Linked DNA regions of Macaca fascicularis. The protein of the gene in region 2 purifies or fractionates together with the protein of the main gene of each other region. This does not show direct contact. Links are inferred from orthologs where the notes say so. Each region holds a gene or a part of one and is shown on either strand. Other genes may lie near its edges.

Region 1 (3,444 bases), on a different chromosome or scaffold from region 2:
AGTGTCCCTAAGTCACTCCCTTCCTCCCCACCCTCTTTACTTCCTGTAAAATAACACCGCCTACCTCCCTTCCCCCAAAGAAAGGGAGTGAGAAAGGCTAACTAAATTCCACAAAGGGAAGAACCAAAAGAGAAACTGCAACTCAGTCACACACTGGTTTCTGTAACTGGAGAATAGGATATTTAGGGGGGCTCACTCTGCACAGATATACCTTTCAAAGTGGCATCTCCAGGGTCTGGAAGAGGAGGGAGTATGGTGGATAAGTCAGCTCCTCCTCCCTCCTCATACCTGGTTTTCTTGACTTTTCCCACAAAAATTGCTGTAACCATTTTTTGTGAATAAGGACAAGACCAAGGTCAAGTGTGGGAAAGACAGGGTCTGTGTCCTTGTGAACATGTGTGAACAGACACAATCATGTCCTTGTGGCCTGATGACCAGAGGCTCAGAAGTCAGCTGGTCTGCAAGGGGCACAGACTGTTCTTCTCTACAACTTACTCTGCGTTGCCCTACAGATGAGGCCTTGAATATTCCTTGGCGGGGCTAGATTGTGAATATGTATCCCACCATGGGGGTAGAAGGGAAGGGACAAAGGACAAGCGGGCTGTAACCCTCCAGTGTATCACAGCACCCTGCTTAGTTAATCATTTCCTTCATTCCTCCAGCCCTCTATCACCAGGCCTCACCCACAACAGAGACAGATAAAAACACTTTATTTAAAAGTATAAAACCAGGCTTACTCCTTCAAACTGCTCCCATCCTTAATTATCTCCACAAAGAGCTATACAAATTGGGCAGGGGTACGTGTACAGTTATCTCAGCTCTAACAACCCCAGTTCTTCTTTCAATTCTCCTTTCTCCCTTCAGATAGCAGAGGTGATACAAACGTGGAAGGAGGGGAAGCGTAGAAAATAAACTGTCATCATCCTCCATTCCCATCTCCAGGGACCAGAGAGGTTATGTGAACTCTGACCAAATGATTTGCTTGTCCAAAAAAACAAATAACAGGGACAGTTACTCTCTGTAGCCTCAAGAAAGACACAAGGGTCCAGAGACGTTCTTCAGTATATAGCCTCGTCCATATTGTCATCACTGTCACCCCCAAAGTCCTCTCCATTGTCAAAATATGACATGATGTAATCAGTTTCCTGAAATGGAAAAAAAAAAAGTAAAAGTCAATTTGGCATTCACCTTCCTTCCTGTGTACCAGACCCCTCTCCTCCCAGTCACACCATTCCAGGCCTGAGACAGCTCTTCCAGCTGTAGTTTGGAGAAGTGGGCAGAGGGAGTAGAGGGAAGCCCCTACCCTGGGGGGCACTATCTCTGTTGGCATGCCAACCCTCTGAGGAAAGCATCCCTAGTATAAAGAGTTGAGATCCCCAGAGTTTCTGGGGTAAAGGGAGGGGGACTAAGGTGGAAGGAGTCCCCTTCACCTCTTCATGTTCTTCTTCATCATACTCTTCTTCTTCCTCCTCTTCCTTCTCTTCTTCTTCTTCCTTCTCCTCATCCTCCTCTGAAGTTACTTCTTCTTCCTTCTTCTCCAGGGTCTCATGTGGGGATGAATAGGAATAGAAATTCAGGTTCAGTTCACAGAAGGGAAAAATTGAGGCACACATGGGTCAAGAGAGAGGGAATGGATCCAGGGCTCAGAAGGTCTCTATGCACACTTCCTCCTCACCTCTAGTTTCTGTATTGTTTCCTCCTTATCTTCTGTGGTCTTAGGGGGCCTCTTGGGGAGCAGAATTGTAATCCCTGGTGGGGGGATCAAAAGGTGAACCATCAGAGAGCAAATTTTGCCAGCTTTATAGCCCATCCTCATGCAAAGAACATGTCACTCTGCTGCCCTCATGTGGCCACTATGACATCTAGCAACAACACTTGGTAGATTGGGTATAGGAACTGGGATGGAAAGTGAGACCAGCAGCAGCCTTGGCCCTCAGGCTGATGAAGGAAACCTCTCTTCTCCCTCCTTTTTCCAGATACACTTACGTTCCTTCTGTAGCTTCCGCACTCGGATCTTTAGCTCCCGGGGTAGACGCCGCCAATCTGGGAATAGTGAGAATGTAAATGTCAATAGGACCCTGCCTGGGCTCTCCAGTGAATAATGACTGGTTTTAAAGGGGGGATTGAGGGTTTTAAAGGAGAGGAAGGAAGGGGCTGGGTCAAAGTTGTTCAGAACAAAACTGTGGCTTAGATATCTCCTGAGTAGTGGGAACTATTTAATAGCTTTTCCAGGTAAAATCTGAGAGTGTTTTGGAACATAACTAAGGCTCTAGCTTGCAGATGCTGGATCAGGGAATGGGGTGGGGACATGGGCGTGGCGGAAATGGCTTGAAGCATCTCATGCATTTGAAAGAAAGGCAGTCAATGAACGAGCCCATCACCTACCAGGGTTCCAATCGATGGCATTGTCAATCGGACCTGACATCTGGTATTTGTCTGAATAACGCTCCACATCTGAGGGGTGGAAGAGTCAAAGTTTTATCCCTTGAGACCCAGAACAGGACTGTTCCTGAGAGTCCAGCCCTCTCAATACTCAGGAATTATCTGTTTCCTTACCCCAAACTCAGAGCCCAGGGGCTCAGCTTCAGTGAGGACCTTATCTCTTTTTTTTTTTTCTTTTTTTTTTTTTTGAGACAGAGTCCTGCTCTGTCGCTCAGGCTGGAGTGCAGTGGTGCAATCTCAGCTTACTGCAACCTCCACCTCCCAGGTTCAAGTGATTCTCCTGCTTCAGCCTCCTGAGTAGCTGGGACTACAGGCGCACATCACCACGCCCAGCTAATTTTTGTATTTTTAGTAGAGACAGGGTTTCACCATGTTGGCCAGGATGGTCTCAATCTCCTGACCTCGTGATCCACCCAACTCGCCCTCCCAAAGTGCTGGGATTACAGGCGTGAGCCACGGCGCCCGGCCCCTTATCACTCTTCTAACCTGTTTCTTTTCCACCTAAAATTATGATTTTTTTTTTTTTTTCCAGATGGAGTCTCACACTGTCGCCCAGGGTTGGAGTGCGGTGGCGCAATCTCGGTCCACTTCAACTTCCACTTCCCAGATTCAAGCAATTCTCCTTGCCTCAGCTTCCCAAGTAGCTGGGATTACAGGCACCTGCCACCAGGCCTGGCTAATTTTTTGTATTTTTTTTTTTTTGTACAGACAGGATTTCACTATGTTGGCCAAGATGGTCTCGAACTCCTGACCTCGTGATCTGCCCACCTCAGCCTCCCAAAGTGCTGGGATTATAGGTGTGAGCCACCACACCTGGCCAGTGTTTTTTTGTTTTGGTTTGTTTTTGTTTTTGTTTTTTTTGAGGCAGAGCCTTGTTGTGTCATCCAGGCTAGAGTACAGTGGCGAGATCTCAGCTCACTGCAACCTCCACCTCCCAGGTTCAAGCAATTCTCGTGCCTCAGCCTCCTGAGTAGCTGAGACCACAGGCTCACACCACTGTGC
Region 2 (4,310 bases):
GAAAAAAGAAACAATCAGGGAAATACTTAAATCATGATACAGCCACTGGAGAACTATGCAGTCTTTGATGCCGTAACAGAGAAATGTTATTTGAAAAAGCAGGATACAGGCCAGGCGCAGTGGCTGACGCCTGTAACCCCAGCACATTGGGAGGCCGAGGCGGGTGGCATCACTCGAGCTCAGGAGTTCAAGACCAGTGTGAGCAACACAGTGAAATCCCGTCTCTACCAAAAATACAAAAAAAAAAAAAAAAGAAAAAAGAAAAAGAAAAAGAAAAAAGAAAAAAAAAATTAGCCGGGCGTGGTGGCATGTATTTAGAGTCCCAGCTACTTGGGAGGCTGAGGTGGGAGCATGGCTTGAGGCTGGGAGGCAGAGGTTGCAGTATGCAGAAACCTCGCCTCAAAAAAAGAAAAGAAAAAGGATACGAAATTGTGATACAACTCTGTGAAGACTACTAGACACATTACAAAATTTTTAATAGTAGTACTCTACGTGGCATTCTGGTAGAAACGATTTCCTTTCCTCAAACTCCCCGTAATAATGTTTTTATACGGTCTGGGGGGATGGGAGATAACATTAAACGACACTTTTTATATCACAAACGCTGGAGTCAATAAAAGTTCTTTAAATTCCTCCAGCAGTAGAGCAAACTTGGTATTCCGATTCTGTCCAGGCTTTGACCAAGAGCGCACCCGAGGGCCACCGCCTTCGTGATCCCAAGCGGGTGTGACTGGGCACCAGTTGGTCCACTGCGGCTGTTCCAACGCTGCCCTCACAGCCTCACCCCAGGACTCCACCAGGAGCACAGGGAAGGGGTCCCCGAGAGTGGGCGAGGTCGCTGCCCGGAGGTAGTGACCACTCCAAGGTCACCATGGAGAACCCGCAGACAGGGCTCGGCACGGCCCAAGACTCCCCGACTCTAAGTCCAGGTCTCGCTCTCTGTGCCGCGCCCCTCGTCCCATCCCGAGCAGCTACCCCCAAGCTCCCAGGGGCTCCGCCGAGGCGAAGCCTCACATTGCGGCTTGGCGGCCGACAAGACCCGCGACCCTGATCTCGGCACCTCCACGCCACCGCCCGGGGGCCAAGACCCCCGAGCACCGCCACATAGCGTAGCCCAGACCGGTTCCCTCATCCTTTTTCGCCCTCTCAACCCAGCTTTTCCCGACTCCGGGAAGAACCGGGAAGAGAAGGCGGAGGGGAGCGAAGCGCCGCCTGATAAATACTGTGGCCCAGTCCCGCCCCCGAAACGTCACATCCGGCCCGTGCCAAGATGGCAGCGCCCAGGCGGTGCCACGCAGACTTCCGCCCGGTGCGGAGACCTAAAGCTGGCAGCGGGTCGCGTCGCAGGTGAAGTGGTGACGCGCGGTGTGGAGCCGCGGCCCGGGTGCGTCCCTGCCTGGTTCCTGGGCGGGGTTCCTGGAGAGAGGGCGTGTCGCGAGCCAAAGGCTCTCACCTGGGTGGTCCCGGGAATCTCGCCACGTGGGAGGGGAGGAGCTGAGAGGCCACTGGAGGGACGCACCGACTGGGGGACCGGAAAGCAAGGGGGTTGGGTTCCGCCAGGGTCCGCGTGTCAGTCCACTCTGGTAATCTCGTCCCCCCTTCTCTCCCAGGCAACATGTCGGAAGGAAACGCCGCCGGCGAGCCCAGCACTCCGGGAGGGCCCCGACCCCTCCTGACTGGGGCCCGGGGGCTCATCGGGCGGCGGCCGGCGCCTCCCCTCACCCCCGGCCGCCTTCCCTCCATCCGTTCCAGGGACCTCACCCTCGGGGGAGTCAAGAAGGTATCCAACGGCGCGTTTCTAAAGAAACTCAACTACCTTGAATTCCAAGCCCCGGCATTCAACTGATGTTTGTGTAGGGCCTACTATGTGTCAGGAGTGTCGTTGGGCCTCAAGCCTACCCCTCTTTAAATTCTAGGGAGCCTGTCCTATCTTCAAATCTAGGTACTGAGTACAAAATGTTGAAATGAGTCCCAGAGGTGGTTGAAAGACAGAGAATCCTAATAAGTTAAAGTCGTTCAAAAGTAATTTGAACAGTGTTTATTTACTCTTATTGTGTGTTTGGACATTTTTAAGAAACCCATGAAAGCCAGGCAGGCATAAACTTCACAGTCTTAGAGCGTTCAGAATTCACCATCTCAGTGTGCAAACTTGTTATCTAGAGTATCATGAATCCTAGGCATGGCATTCGAGGCTCTGTGGGCTGTCCCATGTGTATATGACTGTGGATGTCAAGAGTAGCCCAGAAAGGGGTGGTGTCAGGATGACAGAAGAATAAAGCAGGTTTTTGGGTTTTTTTTTTGAGACGAAGTCTCGCCCTAGTCCCCCAAACTGGAGTGTAATGGCATGATCTTGGCTCACTGCAACCTCTGCCTCCCGGGTTTGAGTGATTCTCCTGCCTCAGCCTCCTGAGTAGCTGGGATTACAGGTGCCCGCCACCATGTCCAGCTGATTTTTGTATTTTTAGTAGACACAAGGTTTCACCATGTTGGCCAGGCTGTTCTTGAACCCCTGACCTTGTGATCCACCCACCTCGGCCTCCCAAAGTGCTGGGATTACAGGCGTGAGCCACCGCTCCCGGCCAAATAAAGCAGTTTTTTTTGTTTGTTTGTTTTGTTTTTAACAGAGTCTCTTTCTGTCGCCCAGGCTGTAGCACAGAGGCACCATCTCAGCTCACTGCAACCTCCACCTCCTGGGGTTCAAGCGATTCTCCTCCCTCAGCCTCCCGAGTAGCTGGGATTACAGAGGCCTGCCACCGCACCTGGCTAATTTTTGTAGTTTTTAGTAGAGACGGGGTTTCACCATCTTGGCCAGGCTGATCTTGAACTCCTGACCTCATGATCCACCTGCCTTGGCCTCCCAAAGTGCTGCGATTACAGGCGTGAGCCACCACGCCTGGACATAAAGCAGTCTTTAGAAACCTAACTTTGCCTTGGAAAATATGGAAAAACACTGCCAACAGTGATTGAGAGTATTGGCAGATCTGTGGCCTTCCCTACTTAGGCCTTGCTGCTAGAGATGTTCCCCCATGATACTGACTGGTCTCTATAGCAGTTTGAAGATAAGAGGTGAGACCAGAGAAATTCCTTTGCTTTTAGAAGTCCCAGAGGACCTTCTTTCAGGATCTTCTTTCCTAAGGCTGCTGGTTAAAAATGGTTTTTGGTGCCCCTTTCTTCTATGCATAACTCCACTGCCACCACACCATGACGTTCCTCCTTTTCAGGCACACGTGTATCTAGAAAACTGACAGCACTGTGGAATGTGCCAAAGAGAGTCATGGTGGCCGTGGTCTGTAGAAGATGCCCGTTGGGAGTTTTTATTTTCCTCTGTACTTTGGGATCAGGACCTAACACATCAGTGACTCCTGTATTTTGCTTTCAGAAAACCTTCACCCCAAATATCATCAGTCGGAAGATCAAGGAAGAGTAAGTAGCTAGTCCTTCTGAATACTTGCCCCTTATTTACTTGCTCTGAATTTGGGGCTTTGGGGAGAAATAAGTAGGTTTGTGGCTCCAAAATTTAAATTTATATCTTTAGTTCTTTTCACTAGTGATTTTCAACCCTGGCTCCTAGGTGATTCTAATGTTTAAGCTTTAAAAAAAAAAAATACTGGTGTCTAGGGTTCCATCTCTAGAAATTGTGATTTAACTTGTTGGCAGTAGAATGGAGTGATTCTCTTTGATGGCCCGAGTTGAGAGCCAATAGTTTAAACAAAGATGTATCACGCTTTCCCTGAAGTTCCTTTGCATTTCTGCCTTCCTGCTTTCAGTCCCAATGCAAACAAAAATCTACATTTTTGGACAAGAACGTAAAGTAAAGCAAACTGAAAAAATCCTGCCTCATCAAGGAAGTGAGAAAAGTGCTAGAATTAGGATTGGATTCTGCTTCTCATGGTGTAATTATTGGCTCAAACTCTCCGCTGTCTTGGAGTGAAGTGGTATGGGAGAGTAAGGCCAGTTTTTGGAGACACAGTGAGTGAGTGGTTTCCCTTAATCCATTCTTTTTTCCAGGCCCAAGGAAGAAGTAACTGTCAAGAAGGAGAAGCGTGAAAGGGACAGAGACCGACAGCGAGAGGGGCATGGACGAGGACGAGGCCGCCCAGAAGTGATCCAGTCTCACTCCATCTTTGAGCAGGGCCCAGCCGAAATGATGAAGAAAAAAGGTACAAGGAAGGAATCAGTGAATTTCAGTTCAGACTGCCCAAGAGAAGGGCGAGAGCAGTGGAATTTCCCCGCTCCCAGTTCAGTTTTCCTTGCTGTTGGCATCTTCCTTATTGATCCCTAGTGACCTGGGTGATTTCCCACAGGGAACT

The links.
Region 1: the proteins of POLR3D (region 2) and POLR3GL purify together in Homo sapiens (co-immunoprecipitation; 4 studies listed by BioGRID and IntAct, counting the BioPlex papers as one, with this or other methods). This does not show direct contact. The link is inferred for Macaca fascicularis from reciprocal best matches to the Homo sapiens genes POLR3D and POLR3GL.

What each region holds. Positions count from the first base shown.
Region 1 is NC_088375.1:113,441,553-113,444,996, forward strand, and holds the end of POLR3GL (DNA-directed RNA polymerase III subunit RPC7-like), read right to left. Parts: intron 2,455-3,444; coding exon 2,386-2,454; intron 2,044-2,385; coding exon 1,987-2,043; intron 1,750-1,986; coding exon 1,676-1,749; intron 1,545-1,675; coding exon 1,431-1,544; intron 1,146-1,430; coding exon 1,059-1,145; 3' UTR 694-1,058; downstream 1-693. UniProt on the Homo sapiens protein: DNA-dependent RNA polymerase catalyzes the transcription of DNA into RNA using the four ribonucleoside triphosphates as substrates. Specific peripheric component of RNA polymerase III which synthesizes small RNAs, such as 5S rRNA and tRNAs.
Region 2 is NC_088382.1:25,316,098-25,320,407, forward strand, and holds the start of POLR3D (DNA-directed RNA polymerase III subunit RPC4), read left to right. Parts: upstream 1-1,262; 5' UTR 1,263-1,347; exon of another isoform or gene 1,348-1,384; intron 1,385-1,610; 5' UTR 1,611-1,615; coding exon 1,616-1,780; intron 1,781-3,379; coding exon 3,380-3,423; intron 3,424-4,008; coding exon 4,009-4,160; intron 4,161-4,304; coding exon 4,305-4,310. UniProt on the Homo sapiens protein: DNA-dependent RNA polymerase catalyzes the transcription of DNA into RNA using the four ribonucleoside triphosphates as substrates.